Linked DNA regions of Canis lupus familiaris. The protein of the gene in region 1 purifies or fractionates together with the protein of each later gene. This does not show direct contact. Links are inferred from orthologs where the notes say so. Each region holds a gene or a part of one and is shown in the gene's direction. Other genes may lie near its edges.

Region 1 (6,980 bases):
TGAGAATCTTTCTTCTGTGTCCTTGTCAGCCTGGACTGCCACGGAACCTCAGTTGTTACGGAGAGAAAATTCTTGCAGTTTGTCAGTGAGGATGGAATGAAATGTGCCTGAATGGTGCAGTGGAGGGAGAAAGAGAAGCAGTTGACTGTGGGCAGGAAGGATAGAATGCCATTCCATTCCTGAGTCACCTTAGAGTTTATGGGTAGTCTCTAAAAATTCTGATGATGTGTGGATTGGGGTTTGAGGCAAATGTGGCAGAAAATAATCAGGGAGTGCTATTTATTCCATGTGGTTTATGGGAATATTCGGGTATAGAGATGGCAGTGCTCCTGTGAATGATATAGCTATACTGTTCCTTATTTTCTGAAACATAGCTTTTGATGGATTGGTTTTATGCCTCTTCCCCTTCCAGAAAGAATCTGTAACAGACTGATAAGAAGATTTAATCATGAGACAAAATGAAAATAAAGTCTGTAAAAGATAAAAGTAGAATAGTAGGAGGTTCTGGGAAAGTTTAGGCACAGGAATAGGTTCCAGCCTTCAGATTGGCAAAATTGGGCTTTCATGTTGGCTGTGAGCTTCCTAGCAGTCAAAGCAAAAAGAGAAATACTTTAGTCCCTTAAAAGTTCTCTTATTTTTCCAAAAAGTTGGGGAGGAGGGGAAACCCAGTTGATTAAATGAAACACAGCTCTTCCTTGCACTGATGTTTGAAAGAAATATGTCCAGGGGATCCCAAGTGAGTGGTGGATGTAATTAAGAAGATGATTCTAAAATATGATTCAGTTAGGATGTCATCCCAGAGGTTGGAACAAAGACCTACCAGTCTTAAATCTAGAGCCGTTTGATGGTAGTTTTGGTCTTGAAGAATTGGCTTTGTATCAGGTTTTGTATCAGACTCTGCAGTAGAGCATTTTTTTCTTTTCTTTCTTTCTTTTTTTTTAAAAGATTTTATTTATTTTTTCATGAGAGACCCACAGAGAGAGGAGAAGCAGAGACACAGGCAGAGGGAGAAGCAGGCTCCATGTAGGGAGGCCGATGTGGCACTTGATCTCAGGACTCCAGGATCACATCCTGAGCCAAAGGCAGACACTCGATCACTGAGCTACCCAGGCATCCCTAGAGCATTTTTTTCAATGGTGTATTTTCACTTTCAAGTTTTTTTTTTTTTTTTTTAAAGATTTTATTTATTTATTCATGATAGTCACACAGAGAGAGAGAGAGAGGCAGAGACATAGGCAGAGGGAGAAGCAGGCTCCATGCAGGGAGCCCGATGTGGGATTCGATCCCGGGTCTCCAGGATCGCGCCCTGGGCCAAAGGCAGGCGCCAAACCGCTGCGCCACCCAGGGATCCCTCACTTTCAAGTTTATTAGGTAAAGAGCATATTACAGTGTGCCACAGTGACCTTCAGCTCACCTTTAGCCAGGAATGCTGCTTATATGTAGAATAGGCAGCCTGAGGTAGCAAAATAGCTTTCTAGTTGGTGATCTCAGAATAGAGGCAAAGGGAGGCTTCCTTAGAGACCCCGCTGTGCTTCCCTTACAACACCGGTAATTTCCATCTTTCTCTTAGAAAGACCCCCCTTCAGGTACTAGAATAAGTAGGTTAATTAAGTAGGGGCAGCTTCTGGAGTGTTGGCCTTGAAGAGATTCACCCTTTTCTGGGCTCTCGGTTTGATTATACACTCAAAATTTCTGGGACAAATGGAATTTCCTACCCCCCCACTTCCCCCAGTAAACCATTAGAATCTTCTAGAAATCAAAATATTTTAGTATCTAATTGGTAACCCCAAAGGGTACTTTGAGCCTAGAATCTTTTTTTGGATTGCACACTCCACAGTTTTTATTTGGAACAGAGGGCCAGCCATCACCACTGCAGAGCAGCAGCCCACCCACAAAGTTACTCTTTGCTTCTGCAAATCAGTAGAAAGAAAAGGACCTATTTGTGGTTGTCCTTTGTCTGAGGAGAGAGGGGCTAGGTTAGCTTCTCAACAGTAATGATATATATATTCATCACCTGGAAGGAAAGGGAGGCATGGAAGGTGCTTCTCTGCAAGTTAGAAGCTCCACCAGGGGACTGCCCTGGTGCACGGCTCTTAGAAAACCTGGGTTCAGAGCCCCCTTTCCTCCTGGAAGGTACAGGGGCTGTATCCAGTATCCAGCACGCAAAGTCATCCCGGCAAAGGATCAGGGTTCCTCACTGTATGAAGAGCTCCCTCCCTTTCCGGCTCCACTTATGAACTTGGCTGGGCTCTTCCTTCCTCTCCAGAGGAGCAGGAAGGCGGAGGAGAGCCAGACAGATGGGACGGCCACCAAGGAAGCTCCCTGCACCCCCTGGCCTCCTGAGTCAGGAAAGTCAGCCCCCCTCCCCTTTCTTTTTTTTCTGTCACTCTCCTTGACTTCCTAAAACTCAGGGTACTGAATATCCTTCCTGGAATAATCAAGGTCATGTCTTTTCTGGGTTACATAAATCTGAAAGGCACTTATGTCAAGGTACATTGTCTGATAAGTTGGGGGTGCTGACTTGTACCTGTGTTTTGTGTGTGATCCCTGGGCATCCTCTCTCGGGGGCAGACCCGCTCCACTGGTGGCTGGGACCTCGGCGGTGATAACGGACCCCCCTTTACAAATGAGCACAAGGGGGCTACCCCTTCTGTGCTGCTCAGTGCTTCTGGCTCTAACCCGCCTTCCTGCCACTCCTCACTGCCTGCTCTCACTGACCAAAATGCTGGCTGCTCCTGGACACGTCTTGGCTGTCGCAGTCACCCTCCAAATTCTCACTTCCGCCTGTTGAAATCCTGCCCCTCCCTCACAGCCCCCCCTCCCAGAAGACAGACTCCCGGAAAGCAGCCTTTTCCAAACTTGTCATTTACATTCATTATTCTTGCCCTTCCCAAGTCTTGCTTTGTATAATCATTGACTTCGTATTTTTATTTAAAGCTACTCTAAAATAAACTATGCTTTTAAAGCTCATTTTAGATGTAGATTTGACCATCGCACCAGTTATTGCCTGATAAAAGGTGGCAGTGGGAATAAACATATCAGAATTAAAAGCAGGGCGTATGCTTCCCATGATGAACACTAAGTAACATGCAGAATTGTCGAATCACGATATTGTACACCTGCAACAAATAGAACACCGTATGTTAACTCGACTGGAATTAAAGTGGAAAAAAAAACATTATAAAACAATATCAACAGCAACAAAGAAGCAAGTCTCCTTAGAGATAAATACCATGGTGTTGGGAAGGTTCTGGCTATGGAGTGGAATTCCCTTTAGTCCCAGGGGTCAAGGCCATTAAGAGCACACTGGGACTTAGTCCTGGAGGGAGTCAGAGGTCAAGGGAGACTCTCCTTCTGGGTGACTTCATGTTTCCAGTGCTTTGGCCCTTGGGAAGTTACCTGATACTTAGGGGTACAGGCTCTATAGGTTCTTTAGCCAAAAGGATTCTCTTAATCTCTGGGTCGACTTTGGTTGGGTGTTTCACAAAGTGCTTACCCAGTTCTAACCGTAACACAAGACAGCTTGTGGTGGTTCTGTTCCTCCACTCACTGGTGGACAGCTTGAGGGCAGGGGCTGGGTCTAGTTCGCCTCATTTGCCCCAGAGGCCCCTATAGGAGCCTCCGATGTGGGCAAGAAGAGGCCGACACTCTGAGATAGATACACAGCAGCGGCCTCTGTGGATAAGGTGAGATGTGCTCCTCCATCGGGGGTGGGGTCCTCCCACACTGAATTTGTTCAGCATTCTTGGTTGGCCTTGCTTTGTTTAACCCAGAACATGCTGGAGAAGAGAAACCCCGCAGGTGAACCTGAGTCCAATCTCTCCTCTTCTGTCCCCCCCGCCCCCCGACGCATCAGCTTTAGTTGTAGGCAAAGCTCCACCGTCCACTACGGCGGGCAGCCAGTCCCCACCTGAAACTCCGCTCCTCACCCGCTCCTCCTCCCAAACACCCACGGCTGGTGTCACGGCCACCACCAGCACCACGTCCACGGTCACGGCCCCGGCCGCCACCGCCGCCGCCGCCACTGCCGCCGCCACGGGAAGCCCGGTGAAAAAGCAGAGGCCGCTTTTACCGAAGGAGACTGCCCCGGCCGTGCAGCGGGTCGTGTGGAACTCGTCAAGTAAGTTTCAAACGTCTTCCCAAAAGTGGCACATGCAGAAGATACAGCGCCAGCAGCAGAGCCAGCAGCAGAGCCAGCAGCCTCAGTCTACCCAGGGGACGAGATATCAGACCAGACAGGCTGTGAAAGGTACCATGCCCCCTTCTGTTCAACGTGGCGCCCACTCCCTCCTCGCCACATCGACAGGAGAGACAGAAATGTTTTTCTTTTTTTTTCTTTTCTTTTTTTTTTTCAGTTCTTTTTTGTTTCATGGCCTTTGTATCTTGAAGGCCTCGCGCATTCCATGTGGCATTATTTTTAAAAGTTGTTTTGCGACTTGTTTTTTTCACTTTTATTTTTTTTCCCCTCTGTGTTAGAAACAATACATGCATATAGGCTTCTTAGAGAGGGGTAAAATATTTGCCCCACAATCTGTTGTCTTGACCGAACTTCCATTCCATTCTTCACCCTTTCTCAGTGGCCACTGTTAACCGTGAAACCTTTTTTATGCATGTATGCATATATATTTATGTATATATGACTCTTCATAAAAATAGTATTTTTTTCTTTTTCCTTTTTTTAAAACATACAAATGGTACCATACTTTTTTTTCTTCTTTTTTTCTTTTTTTTTTTTCACCCATCAGCATGTTTTGGAAGTTCATCCATGTTAGCACATATAGCTCTATCTATGTTATTTTGGACTGCTGCATAGTATTCCACAGTTGATTTAAATCAAGTATTCCCCTACTGATGGGCATTTAGGTTGCTCCCAGTTTTTTTTTTTCCCCCTGTTGTAAGCAGTGCTGCAATGAATACCTTTGTGTAAATTTTCTTGTGCACACCCATGAACCTCTTGGCATTATTTTGGGAAGAGTATGGTGTGAGGAATTGGTAGCAAAGGGTATCTTGATAACTAGAGGTTAGCCACCTACAGAAGAAGAGCCAGCATCAAGCACCAGTTGGCGAAGTTGTGGAGTCAAAACCACCCCCAGCCATGGAGGAGGCTCCATCTGGCATTGCTTGGATGAGTACCAGTTGGCCCAGCTTTCGTGAGCGCTAATGCAGATCTTGTCTCGCAGGGAAGCCTAGATCTAGATCCTTAGAGGTTGGGGTCTTTAGTTGAAACTCTCACATACTGAGTGCATCCTAGTGAGTAGAAGTATAAAGAGTTGCAGCAGGGTATGGGTCGAAAGGTAGCCAGGTCTCGAACAGCCCCTAAGAACCCTTTTGAAGACTGGAGGGTAGGAAGATTGGACAGGTGCAGTGGGAGTGCAGCTGGATTGCTCGCGGTATTTAAAGAGCTAATGGGACAGGATTGAATCCTAGTTCCAGTCTTTTTTTTGGTGTGTGTTCGTACCCGGTAAAAATTAGGAGCTTCTCCAGGGGAATTTAGGTGCTAGCAAGAAGAGGCCCATTGATGGTGTGGTTCTCAGTTTCCAAGTTGTCTTGTGTCAAAGACAAAGCTGGATACTAGTTAACCTGGTAAGGATGGGTTGTAATCAATATGTACTATTACAACAGGGAGAAAGCAGTCCAGCAGGAACTGAAGTCATTCCCAATTTGTACAGAAGTGACTGGGCGTTTTAAAAGGAGGATGAGTGTGGTGAGGGTGGGAAGGGACTGTGTAGAGACTCCAGTAGAGTCAGGGAGGTGAAATTTTACAAAAAATGGGAAGTAGTGGTTGGTCCATGTGAAACCCATACGGGGTTGCTAATAATGCTTTTTGGAGTTAGACTCCTACCATCCCATGGAGACCAGGAGACAGGGGTCGTTGAGTGTTGGCTAGAACAAATGGTAAATTCACTTGGCAGCCTTGGTTTCTCAGGCAGGTACTTTGGCAGCGGGGACTGGAGTCATCCTAGAGAAGTGAACTTGAGCTGTTGGAAGCCATGTTAGTGTTTACGGAAGGCTTTATGGGCCAAGCTTGAGGCCTAGTCCCAGAAAAGGCTGAGAGGATCCTGGCCAGAATCTGGTCACGAGGAGAATCTCTGTCACTTGAATAGAAGAGCTTAAGCAATGGACGTCAGGGACCTCACTCCCTCTCCGCAGCTTCTTGCTGGGTTGGGCCCTTCCCACAGCAGTGGGGTGACCGGGACCCTTTGCTTTCCTAGCTGTGCAGCAGAAGGAGATCACGCAGAGTCCATCCACTTCCACCATCACCCTGGTGACCAGCACTCAGTCATCACCCCTGGTCACCAGCTCGGGGTCTGCAAGCACCCTCGCATCCTCAGTCAACGCAGACCTGCCTATCGCCACTGCCTCCGCCGACGTCGCTGCGGACATTGCCAAGTACACTAGTAAAGTGAGTGCTGTGGTGCCGGGTTGGGGGCTAGGGGCGTGTTCTGCCAGAGGACCGACTTCCTGTTGGGAGCCAGGAGGATCACGACCTCACAGGCTTTATGGGGTGCTCAGGAGGGGAGATCCTGTTTTTCCTGAGGATCTCCAAGTCCAAATTCTTCCATCTGCATCTAATGTTGAATCTAAGCAGAGAAATCTTGGATGCACTGCATGTTACTCTGAGGCCTTTGATTCTACAGTCAGTACATAGCTGGAAAATGACATCGATTACCTTTGAGAATTCATGTCTCTCATTGACAGAGTTTCCTTAACACGCTGTTTGTCATTTAATAACAGACCAAGGCGTTGGTTTGCATTTAGTAGCCACGTGGAACAAAGTGACTGAGTCTTAAGAAGGAGATGTGTAAGGTATGACGTTAGGCCTAGATTTTTCAGGAACCAGGATGGCCTAGGGAGTACTGGATTCTGTCCTGATTTTCCCACCCTCTGGGGCGCGGTGACCGGATTCCCCGAAGTGGGTTCATTGATGGGTGTTCTCTCCTGCAGGCTCTTTGTTTGAATTTGCCAGGTGCTTCTGTGCT
Region 2 (7,080 bases), on another chromosome or scaffold:
GTGCGGCCCTCACCCCGGGGTCCCAGCCCCATTCCAGGCTCCCAGCCTCCCCTCAGCAGCAGCTTAAAGCCTGGGCTGGAGGCGGGCACCCCAAGGGGCAGGTTGGGGGACCTGAGATCACGAGGCAGTGACAGCAGGTGAGCAGTGGATGTCCAATGATTAGAGTCTTGGAAGTGAGCATTGCAGGTCTCGCAGTACTGGAAGGAAGGGGATTGGGACCTGTAGGGGAAAAAGAGAAAGAGATGAGGGCAGGGGAAGAGTGGAGGGAGTGGAGAGGGAGGCAGGCAGAGCGGGGTGGCAAGGTGGGAAGTCCTTCTAGCCTTTCTGCTAAGAAAGAAATTGCCTTCCAACCCACTTAGCAATGAGGGACCCAGAGGGGAACAGCTAGAAGAAATAGCAACCAGGCTTCACAAGATCTTGGGCAAGGCATAATAACTACAATTTATATATATATTTATATATGTATATTTATATATATATAGTTTAAAAAAATTTTTTTTTTTTTTTATGATAGTCACAGAGAGAAAGAGAGAGAGAGAGAGGCAGAGACATAAGCAGGCTCCATGCACCGGGAGCCCGATGTGGGATCCGATCCCGGGTCTCCAGGATCGCGCCCTGCGCCACCAGGGATCCCCTATATATATGTATATAGTTAATCCCCTATATATATATATTAACTATATATATATATATATGGTAAACCGTCATCCTAACACTTTACATATATTGACCCATTAAATCCTCACAATTCTTTAACAGGTGCTCTTGTTACCCCCCATTTCTCAGATAAGGAAAATGAGGCACATAAAAATTAGGTTGCTTGACCAAGTAAGTAGAATCAGAATTTAAACCCAGGGAGCTGGGACACCTGGGTGGCTCAGCGGTTGAGCGCCTGCCTTTGGCCCAGGGTGTGATCCTGGAGACCTTGGATGAGTTCCACATCGGGCTCCCTGCAGGGAGCCTGCTTCTCCCTCTGCCTCTCTCTCTCTCTCTGTGTCTCTCATGAATAAATAAATAAAAATCTTAAAAAAACACACACACAAAAAAAACAGGGAGCTCACATTTACTACTACTCGATTCCATTGCCATATCAACCTACACTGGGGATCAGGGAGAGAATCTTTGAGTCTGTTCCGGAGCCTCTGGCATGGAGGGACTAGGAAGGGCAGAACACACTGAAAGATGGGCATGGGTTAAGGCTTCCTCTCACCGGTTCTCTGGATTCCTCGTCTCTCCGTGGCTCTCTCGGACCATGCGCGCCACCTCAGGAAAACCCGCTTCTTCAGCCAGCTGAGCAGCATCCTTGCCACCCAGCTCACAGACACCCACCCAGGCAGCTCCACGGCCCAGGAGATAGCGCACAGCAGCCCCCTGGCCTGCTCGAGCAGCACACATCAGGGGGGTCCACCAGAAGGCATCCCGAGCATTGATATTGCCCCCCGCTCCCCCTGCCTCGTGGGGATCCAAGAGCCTTCTTAGTTCTGCTAGGTCACCCTCCTGGGCTGCCCTCAGTATCCAATGGGTCATCTTGTCCTCTGCCTCAAGGGATCTCCTTTGTCCATGTCCTGCTGAGGCTCCTACAGCAGCTTCCCCCATCATTCTTCTCTTCTTCCTCTTTCTTTTCCTGTCAGGTTCAGGCTGAGATCTCTGGGATGCAGGGATGCTGCTCTCTTCTGCAATCAGGGCCTCATAGAAAGCCCGGGCTGCAGCCCCATTCAGGGTGGGCTCCAGCTCTTCAGGCTGTGACTGCTGCTGCCCATCTTTCCAGAGGTCACTGGGGTTGGTGGCCGGGGTGAAGGTGATGAGGGAGGGCCTGGACATGGCTTTTGGGAGAACTGAGACAATGAGACTAATTAAAGGGCGTATGAGACAAGCAAGCCAATCCCTTGGTGGCTCTGCACTGACCAGAACCACCTCCACAGATCTGCTGGGATGAGGAAAAGTAGCCTTTTCCAAGTCAAAAACCCGTCTTATACTCTAAGTGACCCCACAACCTAGGACCCTACAGGGCCTAAGGACCATAGGTCATGTGGAAAAACAGGGAGCCATACAATAACAGCCCATATCCCTCGTAAAGGTTAACTTAACAAAGATTTAATGAGAATTGCCCAGAGGCCCATCCCTATCCTCACCAATAAGTAAAAACAGCTTCTCTCTCAAACTACTTGATCACCAGGTAAGACGTGCAGTTAAGAAAACAATCAGCCTAGCCCTTTAAATCTTCCTTGATCCTATGTCAGGGTAGGGTCTTTCCAAACAAAAACAGACTTTTAACCTTCTCCGGATGCAAGAAGAAGATTTGGGGGAGAAACTCCAGTCTCTGTGGAGACCCCACAGGGTCTCTGTACCACAAAAATTTTATCTAAGCAAAGGTGCTGCCAGTCCAATAGCCACACGACCCAGACACACATGTGTGACTGAAAAAAAAATCAACCACCACAAAGCAGAACTTGAGGGTGCGGGCGTGTGCGAAGCGCCAGGCTGAGCCTTCGCACGGTGGGACCCTCCAGGATGCCACGTGCCCAGGCAGCGCGAGGACAGAGGCTCTGTCGGTTGGGGTCCTACTTCTACATAACGCCCCACAATGCCCTTCGCCTCCCGGAACGTGGCCCCCCACTCCGAGCGCAGTTTTTGGACCTGCGAAACCACCGAGTTAAGGAGGGCTCTGAGAAGGCGGGAGGAAACCTGTGGAATGCCCCGAAGCCGTGAAGTGAAATAACGTCACGCCACCCCTCACCATTATTCTGAGCAGGGTTCGAAGGTCACACTTAGTGCCCGCAGCAGAAGGCCCCATTCAAGCTCTGAGAGGAGATGGAAAAGTGCAAGGGGACGAGCAGCAGAATGGCTGGCGCCACTTCAGGTTAGCGCACAGGCCGTCCCAATTCTCACACCGCTCACCTCAGCCCAGCCCACTCTTCCCACGTCCCGCAAGCAAGGAGCCCGGCCTCACCTCCCGCCTGAGGAGACTAGACCCCGGGGTGAAGCACCGGCCCGGGTGGGGCCTCCAGTGGCGGGCCTGACTCTGGCGAGAGGCTCCGCAGGCAACAAGGACCCGGTGGGGTAGTCGGGGACGAGGTCAGCACCCTGGGCTGCCGGCAAACACCTGGGGCAGAGCCTCGCTGTGTGAGGGGAGTTGCAGGAATCCAGCCCTCCAGCCCCGTTCCTTCCCCGCCCCCTCCCGGCCCCTCAGTTGCGCGACCCTACGACTCTATTTCCCATACTCCCTGGCCCAGAACGGGGTACTGCGCTTCCGCTTCCGGTGGTATCCCGCTGCTCCCCACCCCCGAGCGTCTTGTTCCTGGGCCTCGCGACGCCAGGGTCGTTCGTGGGTCATCCTGGGATTCGTAGTTCGCCTGTTCTTCGCTTCGCCAGTTTCTCTTTACCTGGGACTCCATTTCCCGGCGTTCACTGCGGCGCCCGACCCTTGGCGCTTGCGCGTTGCCCTCTCCCCACCCTCCCCAATTTCCACACACACCGCCCCCCGCCCCCCCCCCCTCGCTACTTCGCCTGCCGCGGTCGGGTCCGCGGCCTGCGCTGTAGCCGTCGCGGTTCTTTGGAAGCAGCAACTCCCCTCCCCCACCCCGGTCCCGGTCCCGGTCCCCGCCCAGCCGGTGAGTCTGAGGTCGTTGCCGCATCGAGTCTTCCGTCCTTAGGCGCGGCACATGGGGTCTCCGCGCGTTGGTGTGGGGGTGGGGAAGGAAGTGACCCGGTCCGGCACCGGGGGAGGGAGGGTTGGCCTGAGAGGCGGGGTGTGGGGACTCCTGTGAGAGGGACCCAGGGCCACCTCCAGGTCGTGAGGGGAAAGGGTCCTGGCTTTTGCTTGGAAAGGATAAACTTCGGAACCCTTGGGAAAGGTGTCGGGGACATGCGGAGACCTGCGGGGTAGGGATCTCGAGCCGAGAGCCCTGCGAGGGAGGGACTTGACGTAAAGAGGAGAGGGTGCTGGTTTTCGGGATTGTTAGGGGTGTGGGTAGGACGGGTGAGCCTAGACCTGTCGGTTTTTCAGAAGTGGTGGGACTCCAAAGAGCCTCTAGTGAATAAGAGGAATTGGAGGCAGGTGCGCCAGGGTCTAGGATCCTTTAAGAAAAGGGGGCTCCAAATTCTTCCATGGTCGGGGAGCAGAGTGTGGGGAGGAGGGAAGGTACCAGAGACAGGGTGGGGGAGCTTGGCCTTTGTTTACCCTCTTTTTTTTTTTTTTCCCAGCTGACGTGAAGATGAGCAGCTCAGAGGAGGTGTCTTGGATATCCTGGTTCTGTGGGCTCCGTGGCAATGAATTCTTTTGTGAAGTGAGTTCTCAATCTCCCAGCTATGTCCGCACAAAGTTTGGCTGTATGTTTTTCCACATATTTAGCTTCTACTTCTCTTACAGGCTGTCATAGAAACTTTTTCCTGTCAAGGAAGAGTCCCTTCAGTAACTCCCCTCACTAATTTGTGAAGTGGCAAGACTTGCCCATCCCAAGCCTGTTACTGTCCAGCGGTGTAATATTGGAAAAGTCAACTTTATTACTACTACTACTACTACTGTTATTCTTATTATTATTGCTAGGCTTGTACTAGTAGTGCTTAATTTGGGAGCCTATTAGGATTAAAATGCCGTTTATCAAAATGTTTTGTAACAGGCAAAGTTTTGTGCTAATGATATAATGGATTATAACTGCCCACAGGACCCAAGCTGTTTAGTCGCTGCTTTTCTTAGAGTTCTAGCTGCCGGTAAGGAGAGGACAAAACTGGTCTGTAGAGATGGGATCAAGAATAGGAACAGGGATTTTAAAAGGAGTGTCTCGTTAAGGAAGAGATTGTTGTAGCTGCTTATCCTTAGGAAAGAAAAGCCAGAGCTTTTATGGGAAGGCAGTGTATGTGAACTGGGGAGAGAGACTCAAGGATTTCTGCTGAGTTGGTGTGGGGAATTAGGGAAAACAGAAGCAGTTGTGTTGGAAACAAGGCACCAATTAGAGCAATGTGCCCAGATCAAAGCTGAGGATTCTGCTATGGGTTTCTTCTTGACTTCCACATCCTGACAGGTGGATGAAGACTACATCCAGGATAAATTCAATCTCACTGGACTCAATGAGCAGGTGCCTCACTATCGACAAGCTCTAGACATGATCTTGGACCTGGAGCCTGGTGAGGCATCCTCGGGGTTATCTTTGTGTGTGTGTGTGTGTGTGTGTGGTTTTTCTTTTTTCTCCCAAATTCCTGTTGATCTGCTTCTTGAATTTCTAAATTTCCTTTTGGTTCTCTGATTGCTTTTGTCCTAAGTTCTGTACTTTATTTTGCTCTCTCATCTGACTTTTGCCTGGATTTGTGACAGCCTCATTCTACACTCTGATCCTGTAACTTGGCTCTCTCCCTTAATGTTAGTTTCCTCATGGATCTCATTTCCTGCTTACCTGTCTTGCCTTGCACCTTTCAGTCTAGAGTTCCAGCTTCTATGTTGATCTTTTTCATTTATGTGTTGAGAGAGTTGGGAGGGAGAGAAGAGAGTAAAGGCTGAAGAGGTATAGAGAGAAGGCAGAGCTGCCTTGGGTGGGTGGGTGGAAGGGCCAGAGGCCCAGGTTTCTGGGTCAAATGCCCAGGTGATGGGTGGCGCAAAGATGAGTAGCCAGCAGCCCCTGGAGGTGGATGGGGCACCTAAGAAAGCTGTAAGACAAGTGATTGCAATTGGCTGCGGCCATGTTTCAGATGAAGAGCTGGAAGACAACCCCAACCAGAGCGACCTGATTGAGCAGGCAGCCGAGATGCTTTATGGATTGATCCACGCCCGCTATATCCTCACCAACCGTGGCATCGCCCAGATGGTGAGGCCTCTCTGCTCCCACTTGACTCCTCTGAGGTAGTAAGGGAAACAGGTTCTTGCAGCAAGGAGTCACGTTTTCAAACTTGTCACAGATTATAGCTAAGAAGAGGGGAAGAGGGCGCCTGGGTGGCTCAGAGGCTGAGCGTCTGCCTTCGGCTCAGGTTGTGATCCTGGGGTCCTGGGATTGAGTCCCGCATTGGGCTCCCCGCAGGGAACCTGCCTCTTCTCTTGCCTGTGTCTGTCTCTCTTTCTGTCTCTCGTGAATAAATAAAATCTTTAAGAAAAAAAAAAGGAGGGGGAAGAACCCCAGAACCTGGGCCTGGGGATTAAATCCTAATTGGGGTTGTGCTGACTGAGGTATTTTCAGGGAGGGAGACGTGACCTTGGACAGGAATTTTTTGCAGTCTGCCTCTTCCTCAGGGAACAAACAGCAAATGGCTCTGATGGTCTGTAACTTGCCTACCTGGAGAAAAGGAAGCAGGGGAGTAGGAGGGCCCATCTGGCCAGCTTAAAATGGGCATCTGGACGGAAGGAGGCAGGAGTGGAGGACAGAGCAATGTGGGTTGGACTGAGGAGGGGATTGCCTCTTCTTTTCATACCTACCCACCGGCCCCTTTCATTTTATTCACCTCAGTTGGAAAAGTACCAGCAGGGAGACTTTGGCTACTGTCCCCGTGTGTACTGTGAGAACCAGCCAATGCTTCCCATCGGTGAGTGTTGGAGAAGGGAAAGGAGGCCTCATGAAATGGCCAGTCCTCTGGGAAGGAAATGGGGCTCAGCAAGTCTGAGCCTGAGTCTGGGAGGGTGGTGGGGCAGGCTCGGGGGTGCCTGGCCTGCTGAGTCTAGCTGTCTCCCAGGCCTTTCGGACATCCCAGGTGAGGCCATGGTGAAGCTCTACTGCCCCAAGTGCATGGACGTGTACACACCCAAGTCATCGAGGCACCATCACACGGATGGCGCCTACTTCGGCACCGGTTTCCCTCACATGCTCTTCATGGTGCACCCCGAGTACCGGCCCAAGCGGCCCGCGAACCAGTTTGTGCCCAGGTGGGGAGCAGGGATAGAGTTACCCAGGGTCAAAGGAAAGGTTTGGGATTCCCCAGAGAGAAGGGAGGACAGGGCATGGTCCTTTCTTGAGGTTTGCTTCTCCCAGAGCGAGTAACCTTGGGGAAGGTGTTTGCCTGCCTGTGCCTCAGTTCCCTTATCCATGAAATGGGGGTGATGACAGTACTTGACTGACAGGGCACATTTAAGTAGTGTGGTGCTTCGAATCATATTGGCAC
Region 3 (7,080 bases), on another chromosome or scaffold:
CCCATCAGAAAAACGTTTGCCACCCAGTGTTCTAGAATATGAGAGCTGTGCTATTTAAACACCCTTCCAACCCTCCTTCCTCTGCAGCCGAGACCCCCACTGCCCTGCCCCGCCACAGCTTTAGTCCCTAACAAGATTCCTGGGCCTAACATGAAGGCAGAGCGTTACAATAATGAACTGTAACCTACTGTAAAGCAGACACATCAGACAGTAAATTTCTATATAAGGTAATATTACTGGTTTTGCCACCAAGTAGAGTAAGGGCTGAGTTTGTTTTCTGATCGGAAAAGTGGGCATCACAGCGGCAACTGAACAATTTCGTTTGAGGATCACCATGGTCACTCTTGTGAAAGCACTTGGAAAATATCAAGGTACCAAATGTTCTCGGGTGCTTTTGCAGAGGGAGCCTCTCTCCTAATCTGGATGTACACTGAGGTTCTCTTTGTGCGTAGGCATCTCGGCCACGTCCTCCCACCCGGTACCCTCTGGCCCTCACAGCCCTCCTGGCCTTGCAGCTCACTTTCTCCTCACCCCCACGCACTCCTCAGGGGCTACCAAGTTTCAAGGCAAGCAGGGCTCAAGCAAGCCATCCCGGGTCCGCATAGGGCAGCTGTCCCCAGCTAAGCCATCGCGGAGTGGGGTCGCCCTGGGACCCCCACGGGTGACGAGAATGACTCAGCAGGGGCCAGCACGGAGACAAGAACGTAGGGACAAAATTCTCTGCAGTTCGAGAGGCCGCAAATCATTTTAAGGACCCAAATGTGCAAACAAACAGTGTAATTCAAGTCAGCTTCGGGCCGTCGGAGGCCTTGTGCCAGTAACAGGCCGCAAGTTTAGCCTAACAGGGAGGCCCCTCGGCTTTAGCAGTCAAAAAACGCCCGCGGCCTCTGTAAAAGGTTTCCTCAGCCTGCAACGAACCCCACCTCAGCTCGACCGGACCCCGGGAAAAGCCAGTCGACTAGAGGGAAGCCTTTCAGGGTACACAGAATTGCATGCCCGTGATTATCCGGGAGACGTTGAGGGCACAGTAATCTCTCGAGACTAGAAACCATTTTCCTCTCGCTCTGAGATTTTGCTTGGCTAAGCCGCGTCAACCTCCCTGCCCCCCTCCCACCCCACCGCCACGGCCGCTGCAAGCAGCCACGCCCCGCGGCCCCGGGGCTCACAGCCCCCGCGCAGCCCGCACGCCGCGCCCCCATCCGCCCCACCCCCGCGCGCCCCCATCCGCCCCCGCGCCCGGCCCTGGGAGCGCTGGGCGAGCCCTCGCGCCTGCGCCTCGCCAACTTCCTGCCGCGGAACGCCCCGCCCACCCCCAGAAGCCCGCCCACAAATGCCGCGTGAAACCTGCGTGCCGCACCTCATTGGTTGAAACAACCGAGCCGTTGGCTCCCAGGCCCGCCTCTCCACCGCCTCTCACTTTTCCCAGGGCGGATGCGCCTGCGCTCAGCTGCCTGGGCGGGCTGGGAGGCGCGGGTTGAAAAGTCTCGTTCCAAGTTTGGAGAGAGAGAGAAGAGCGCCTCAGACCTCGGTACCCGCGAGCGGGGAGGAGGCAGGAGAGAAGGACGCAGCGTTTGGGGAGCACCCAGGCCGTAAGACGGAGCTCACGCTTCGAGAGCTAGAAGTGTGTGACGCGCCTGGGCGAGGCAGGAACGCCTGCGGTTGGGCTGCTGTTGGCTAGCGAGGGGAGTCCGAGGCGGCGGCGAGGGGCGAACGACCCGACGCAAGATGGCGAGTAAAGAGAGTAAGAGGCCCTGCGGGGCGGCGCGCGCCGGGACCGCGGGGGGCGGCGGGCGCGCGAGGCCGCGGCACGCGCCGGCGAAAGGCGCGAATTGGCGTGAGGAGCAGGGGGCGGGGCCGGGCGCGAGGCTAGGCGCGCGCCTCGAGGGGCCTACAGCGGGACGGGACCGCGGCGCGGAGGGCTCCGAGCACTTCCGGAGCCGGGCGCGGGGCCGCGGGTTGGGCCCCCTTCCCCCTCTGCCCCCCCCCGCTCCCCTCCCCCCCCTCTGGCGGCGGCGCTCCCTCCGGCGCCCTTGGCTCTCGGGCGGAGGCGGCCTCCGCCACCGGAAAGCGGACACGGCTGCTCCTTCCACGCGCGCGCGTCGACCGCTTCGGGGTCGCGGCCCTTGTCCGGGGGATTCTGGCACACGCCGGCCTATGGCTGCTGACGCGGGCTTCGTGGGAGCGGAGGCCGCTCCTGGTGGGGGATGGAGGGAGCGGGCCGAGGGGTTTCTGCTACACGTGGATTCGTCTCCCGGGGTGGGTCGTGGAGCCCCTGCACAGATGGGTCGTCATCTTAGAACAGGTGCGAACAGCTGTAACTGCTGAAACAAAATCGTCGTCTGTGTAATTGCCCAATTCTGTATACGCAAGCAGTATCGATTTCTAAGTGCAAAAAATAAGCTTCCTGGTGTTAATATTCTCCTCACGTTCTGGAAGAGCAGTTAGTTCGTGTCCAAATTAAACGTAAAGCTGAGGAGTAGATTAGGTGTGGCCATCTCGAGGTGACCTCCACTATCTGTGTACAGATTCTAACTCGATTTCTCTCAGCCACTTAATTGTGTGGGATTTCTCCAAATTTCAGTGTTTGAAGATACTGTGGAGGAGCGTGTCATCAATGAAGAATATAAAATCTGGAAGAAGAATACACCGTTTCTGTATGACCTGGTTATGACCCATGCTCTTCAGTGGCCGAGTCTTACCGTTCAGTGGCTTCCTGAAGTGACTAAGTAAGGGTTTCTGGCAACTTTTACTTTGCATAAATTTGACTATTATCCCGAAATTCCTAGTTTTGGCATTTTACACATAGAACATGAGCGTGTAATCAATTTAGCCCTTGCATGAGGTGGCAGGTGATTTTTATTTTCAAAACAAGTGATTTATGGGATGGTTTTTGATATGTAAGCGTGGGGACAAAGTGCGATTAATGATATTTGTGGGGAGCATCTAACGAATTTAACAGTTCTTGGGATTAAATATAGAGCAGCATTTTGGGGACCCAGACTAATGGATTTCTTTAAAACTTTATTGAAAAAGAGCACACGTACAGAAAAATGCACAAATCATAAGCATATGGCTGGATGGATTTTTACGAAGGGAGCACATCCATGTAACCAGCCACCACTATATGAATAGGTTTTTTTTTTTTTTTTTTTTTTTTTTTTTTAATTTATTTATGATAGTCACACAGAGAGAGAGAGAGAGGCAGAGACACAGGCAGAGGGAGAAGCAGGCTCCATGCACCAGGAGCCCGATATGGGATTCGATCCCGGGTCTCCAGGATCGCGCCCCGGGCCAAAGGCAGGCGCCAAACCACTGCGCCACCCAGGGATCCCTATATGAATAGGTTTTAATTGACAAAGGGAAAAAAGAATTTAGCAGTAGTTCACTGAAGAAAAGACGTTACTAGCTGATAGTGTGGAATACACTTGGAGGTTGCTGTTGGTTCTTTTCAGCCGTTTCTAAAATTTCTCTGGTAATAATTGCTGGTATTATTGAACACTTAAAATAGGGCCTGGCACATCTCAACAGTTTTGTGTCCAGTTGTTTAATATTCAGAATTATACTATGAAAAAGTATACTATGATTATTCTTTATCATCTTTGTCTTACTGTTGTGGAAACTGGGGTGGGGGTGTTAAAATACCCAGGATCATCCAGCAAGTGGTGGAGTGGGATTTTGAACCCAAACCGGGTACCCCAGAGTTGAGGCAACTCCTGTATTATTAGACTTTCTTAAGCGCTTGCACTTTTTCTAGTAGGAACTTGGCTGTGTACTTTAAAAGTATTTAATTTGGGTATTGTGAACATATATTTTTAATGAGGATTAACAAAACTAACGTAGGAAGGGGATTTTGAGACAATTTCTGAAAATAAGAGCAAGTTAATTTTCTATGAGGTTACTCCTTTAATGGCCGAATTCTCCATATGCAGACATTGTCTTCCATATAGGTAGAGGCTTTTATTAGGATTCCCCAAAATCAGTGTAAATACACAGATGTGATAAGAATAGCCAAGAAATAAAAAACAGACTTCAAAACACTGACATAACAATTTTGAACATCAAATACTTAAGGGTATTCAGGTTCTCCTTTGAGCACCATGTACTTTTGATTCTTTGTGCACTCCTGTTAAGTAAATTAAAACCTTTAACAGCTTAATTTACATTATTTTGGATCTTTTTGATCTACCTTACCAGCAGAACACAGCGGAGGTGTTTAGGACTCTAAGGTTAGAAACCTGAGTTTGAATCCTGCCGCCTGCTTCTTAATAGCTAAATTAGGGCACATTGGTCAGTCTCTATTCCCAAGCTGTCTGATCTGTAAGTGGAGGTGCTGGTGCTTCTGACTGCCTACTTTTGAGGAAATGAAATAAGATCATGCACTTTTAAAGTGCTGGCACAGAAGAAGTCCGCAATAAGTGGTGACTGATGCTGATTTTCTCCCCCTTTGTATTCAGAAATAATTAGACTGTAGTAACTGTGTTTCTCCATTTGGATTCCAGTGAAAACTGCTTATTCAAGTCTTCTGAAAATGTTATCTGTGTTTTGTGTAACAATTTTAAGGATGTTAAATGTGTATGTTCTTAGCCCGGATACTGCTTTTGAAAAGATTTTTATTTTTAAGTAATCTCTACACCCAACGTGGAGCTCAGATTTACAGCCCTGAGATCAAGAGTCACATGTTCCACCTACTGAGCCCGCCAGCCCCCCGCCAATACTGCTTTTATGTTAACACTTAAGAACTTAACAAAAAATACTTTAAATGATGTATTCCGTGGTGTTCTTTGCATACAAAGAAGTGGGATCTGGTTGTGGGATGTGCAGTTGCTCTGGGAATGCAAGAAAATGCCAGCCAGCCTGCATTCTTGGATGTTGAGGATGGCTGTGTGGTACTTTTGCAGGATTCTACTTGGAGTATGAAGGGACTGTGATTGTGTTTTGTTACTATACGGAACACCGGAGATGTTGGCTACTCTTATTCCCAGGGTCTTTGAGGAATGTGATGCTAGTCAACCTCATGAGGCTTTTACCTACATACTACATAGAGCATACCTCCCAATAATTACTTGCACTTTCTGAACTGTTGTCCTTAAACTAAATTAGGTAATTGTCCACATGGTGGATTTGCCTTGTAAAAATTTTTATTTAGGGGGGAATCCCTGGGTGGCTTGGCGGTTTAATGCCTGCCTCTGGCCCAGGGTGCGATCCTGGAGTCCCGGGATCGAGTCCCGCGTCGGGCTCCTGGCATGGAGCCTGTTTCTCCCTCTGCTTGTGTCTCTGCCTCTCTCTCTCTCTCTCTCTCTTTCTCTATCATGAATAAATAAAATCTTAAAAATTTTTTATTTAGGTATTTCTAATCTGTAATTCCATTATTCCATATTTTTTATTAAATAATTTCTTAAACATCTTGAGACTAACTTATTCTGTACTTAGAAACCTTTGTAATCCTTCAAATTCAGATGGTACAAAGTACATAGAGAAAATAATAAGTCTCCCTTCCATGTTCCCTGTTCTCCTGGTTTATTACCCAGAGTTGAGTCATTTTTGGCTGGCTTTTTTAACTGATCCTGCCAGAAATAAGTGTATATACACATTACACACACCTACCCTCCATCTCTCTCTCTCTCTCTTCCCCCCTCCCCCCCTTTGGGTGAACTGGTTGTGCATGAGCAGGGGGAGGGGCAGAGGGCAAGGGAGAGAGAGAAACTTAAGCAGATTCCCTGCTGAGTGCAGAGCTTGACACAGGGCTTGATCTCAGGACCATGAGATCATGACCTGAGCGGAAACCAAGAATTAAACACTTAACTGACTGAGCCACCTAGGCACCCCTCCCCTAAATCTTTTTTTAATGATAGCAAGTTACTCACTTGACTTTACAGTTTGTAGTTTATGTTGGAGACTTCCTATCAGCATGCTTAGATATGCTCTTTTGCTTTAAGGGCTCCATAGAATTCCCTTTATGAATATACTATTATGTATATCACCAGTTCTTTTTAAAATTTTTTAGAGATTTTTTAAAAAGATTTTATTTATTCATGAGAGAGGCAGAGACCTAGGCAGAGGGACAAGCATACTCCATGCAGGGAACCCGATGTGGGACTCGATCCCGGGACTCCAGGATCACACCCTGAGCCAAAGGTGGACACTCAACCGCTGAGCCACCCAGGTGTCCCACCAGTTCTTTATTAATAGATATTTAAAGGTTGTCATCAGTCTTTTTCCACTAAGACAATGCTACTGAGAATAATCTTGTGATAATCTGTGATTGTTAGGTGACTTTCTTAGCCGTGGAGTCTTAAGTGATTGATCAAAGGATGCTGGCACTGAAAAATGGACAAGGTCTTTTAACATTAGTGCTCCTGCAGCTTTAGGTGCATTCAGCATTGGAGGAAAATACTGTAATATTGTTGGTTCAGGAAAATAAGTTTGTATTTTAATGATGGACTTGAAAGGATTGCCAGTAAAAAAGAAAAAAAAATCCTTACATGATTATTGTGACGGGGGATACCTGAATTGAATTTTAGAGTCAAGGAATTTTTCAGATCCTCCATCCATGTTGGGACCGGGCTTCTTAGAAAGGTCCTATTTTTTTCTGTTTAACCCCCTAATAAAATACTTCTTCCTTTTATGTTAGCCTTAACCTTGCTTTGTGGTGCTTCCTTTCTCTCAAGCATTCCTTTTTCTTTTTTTTTTTTTTTTAAGATTCTATTTATTTATGAGACAGAGAGGCAGAGACACAGGCAGAGGGAGAAGCAGGCTCCATGCAGGGAGCCTGACGTGGGACTCGACCCCTAGTCTCCAGGATCAGGCCCTGGACTGAAGGTGGCGCTAAACCCCTGAGCCACCCGGGCTGCCCCCTTTTCAAGTGGTTTTTTTTTTTTTTTTTTAAATTTTCAAATGGTTCTAATGAGATGTGTTTAAGTTCCCTTTCATTTTGAGCTACAAAGATTTCATTTTGTCTAAGTCCTCCTCAGTTACATTGCTTAGAGCCTAATTTTCTGTTATTTTTCCATTTAAAAATAAGTTGGGATCCCTGGGTTTAGTGTCTGCTATTGGCTCGGTGTGATCCTGGAGTCCCGGGAT

What was found. Proteins that work in one complex are often made in the same cells at the same time.
Region 2: the proteins of ZMYND8 (region 1) and CSNK2B purify together in Homo sapiens (affinity purification with mass spectrometry; 3 studies listed by BioGRID and IntAct, with this or other methods). This does not show direct contact. The link is inferred for Canis lupus familiaris from reciprocal best matches to the Homo sapiens genes ZMYND8 and CSNK2B.
Region 3: the proteins of ZMYND8 (region 1) and histone-binding protein RBBP7 purify together in Homo sapiens (affinity purification with mass spectrometry; 3 studies listed by BioGRID and IntAct, with this or other methods). This does not show direct contact. The link is inferred for Canis lupus familiaris from reciprocal best matches to the Homo sapiens genes ZMYND8 and RBBP7.

What each region holds. Positions count from the first base shown.
Region 1 is NC_049245.1:34,967,532-34,974,511, reverse strand, and holds part of ZMYND8 (protein kinase C-binding protein 1), read left to right. Parts: intron 1-3,856; coding exon 3,857-4,249; intron 4,250-6,212; coding exon 6,213-6,403; intron 6,404-6,980. UniProt on the Homo sapiens protein: Chromatin reader that recognizes dual histone modifications such as histone H3.1 dimethylated at 'Lys-36' and histone H4 acetylated at 'Lys-16' (H3.1K36me2-H4K16ac) and histone H3 methylated at 'Lys-4' and histone H4 acetylated at 'Lys-14' (H3K4me1-H3K14ac).
Region 2 is NC_049233.1:1,285,397-1,292,476, forward strand, and holds the start of CSNK2B (casein kinase II subunit beta), read left to right. Parts: upstream 1-2,721; 5' UTR 2,722-2,811; coding exon 2,812-2,860; exon of another isoform or gene 2,861-2,939; intron 2,940-2,950; exon of another isoform or gene 2,951-3,358; intron 3,359-3,458; exon of another isoform or gene 3,459-3,611; intron 3,612-3,734; exon of another isoform or gene 3,735-3,882; intron 3,883-4,203; coding exon 4,204-4,286; intron 4,287-5,021; coding exon 5,022-5,124; intron 5,125-5,682; coding exon 5,683-5,798; intron 5,799-6,431; coding exon 6,432-6,507; intron 6,508-6,654; coding exon 6,655-6,844; intron 6,845-7,080. Other genes in the region: GPANK1 (G patch domain and ankyrin repeat-containing protein 1), read right to left, coding at 1-219, 1,211-1,821. UniProt on the Homo sapiens protein: Regulatory subunit of casein kinase II/CK2.
Region 3 is NC_049260.1:13,086,270-13,093,349, reverse strand, and holds the start of histone-binding protein RBBP7, read left to right. Parts: upstream 1-2,139; 5' UTR 2,140-2,154; coding exon 2,155-2,302; intron 2,303-2,581; coding exon 2,582-2,726; intron 2,727-2,732; exon of another isoform or gene 2,733-3,132; intron 3,133-3,343; exon of another isoform or gene 3,344-4,763; intron 4,764-7,080. UniProt on the Homo sapiens protein: Core histone-binding subunit that may target chromatin remodeling factors, histone acetyltransferases and histone deacetylases to their histone substrates in a manner that is regulated by nucleosomal DNA.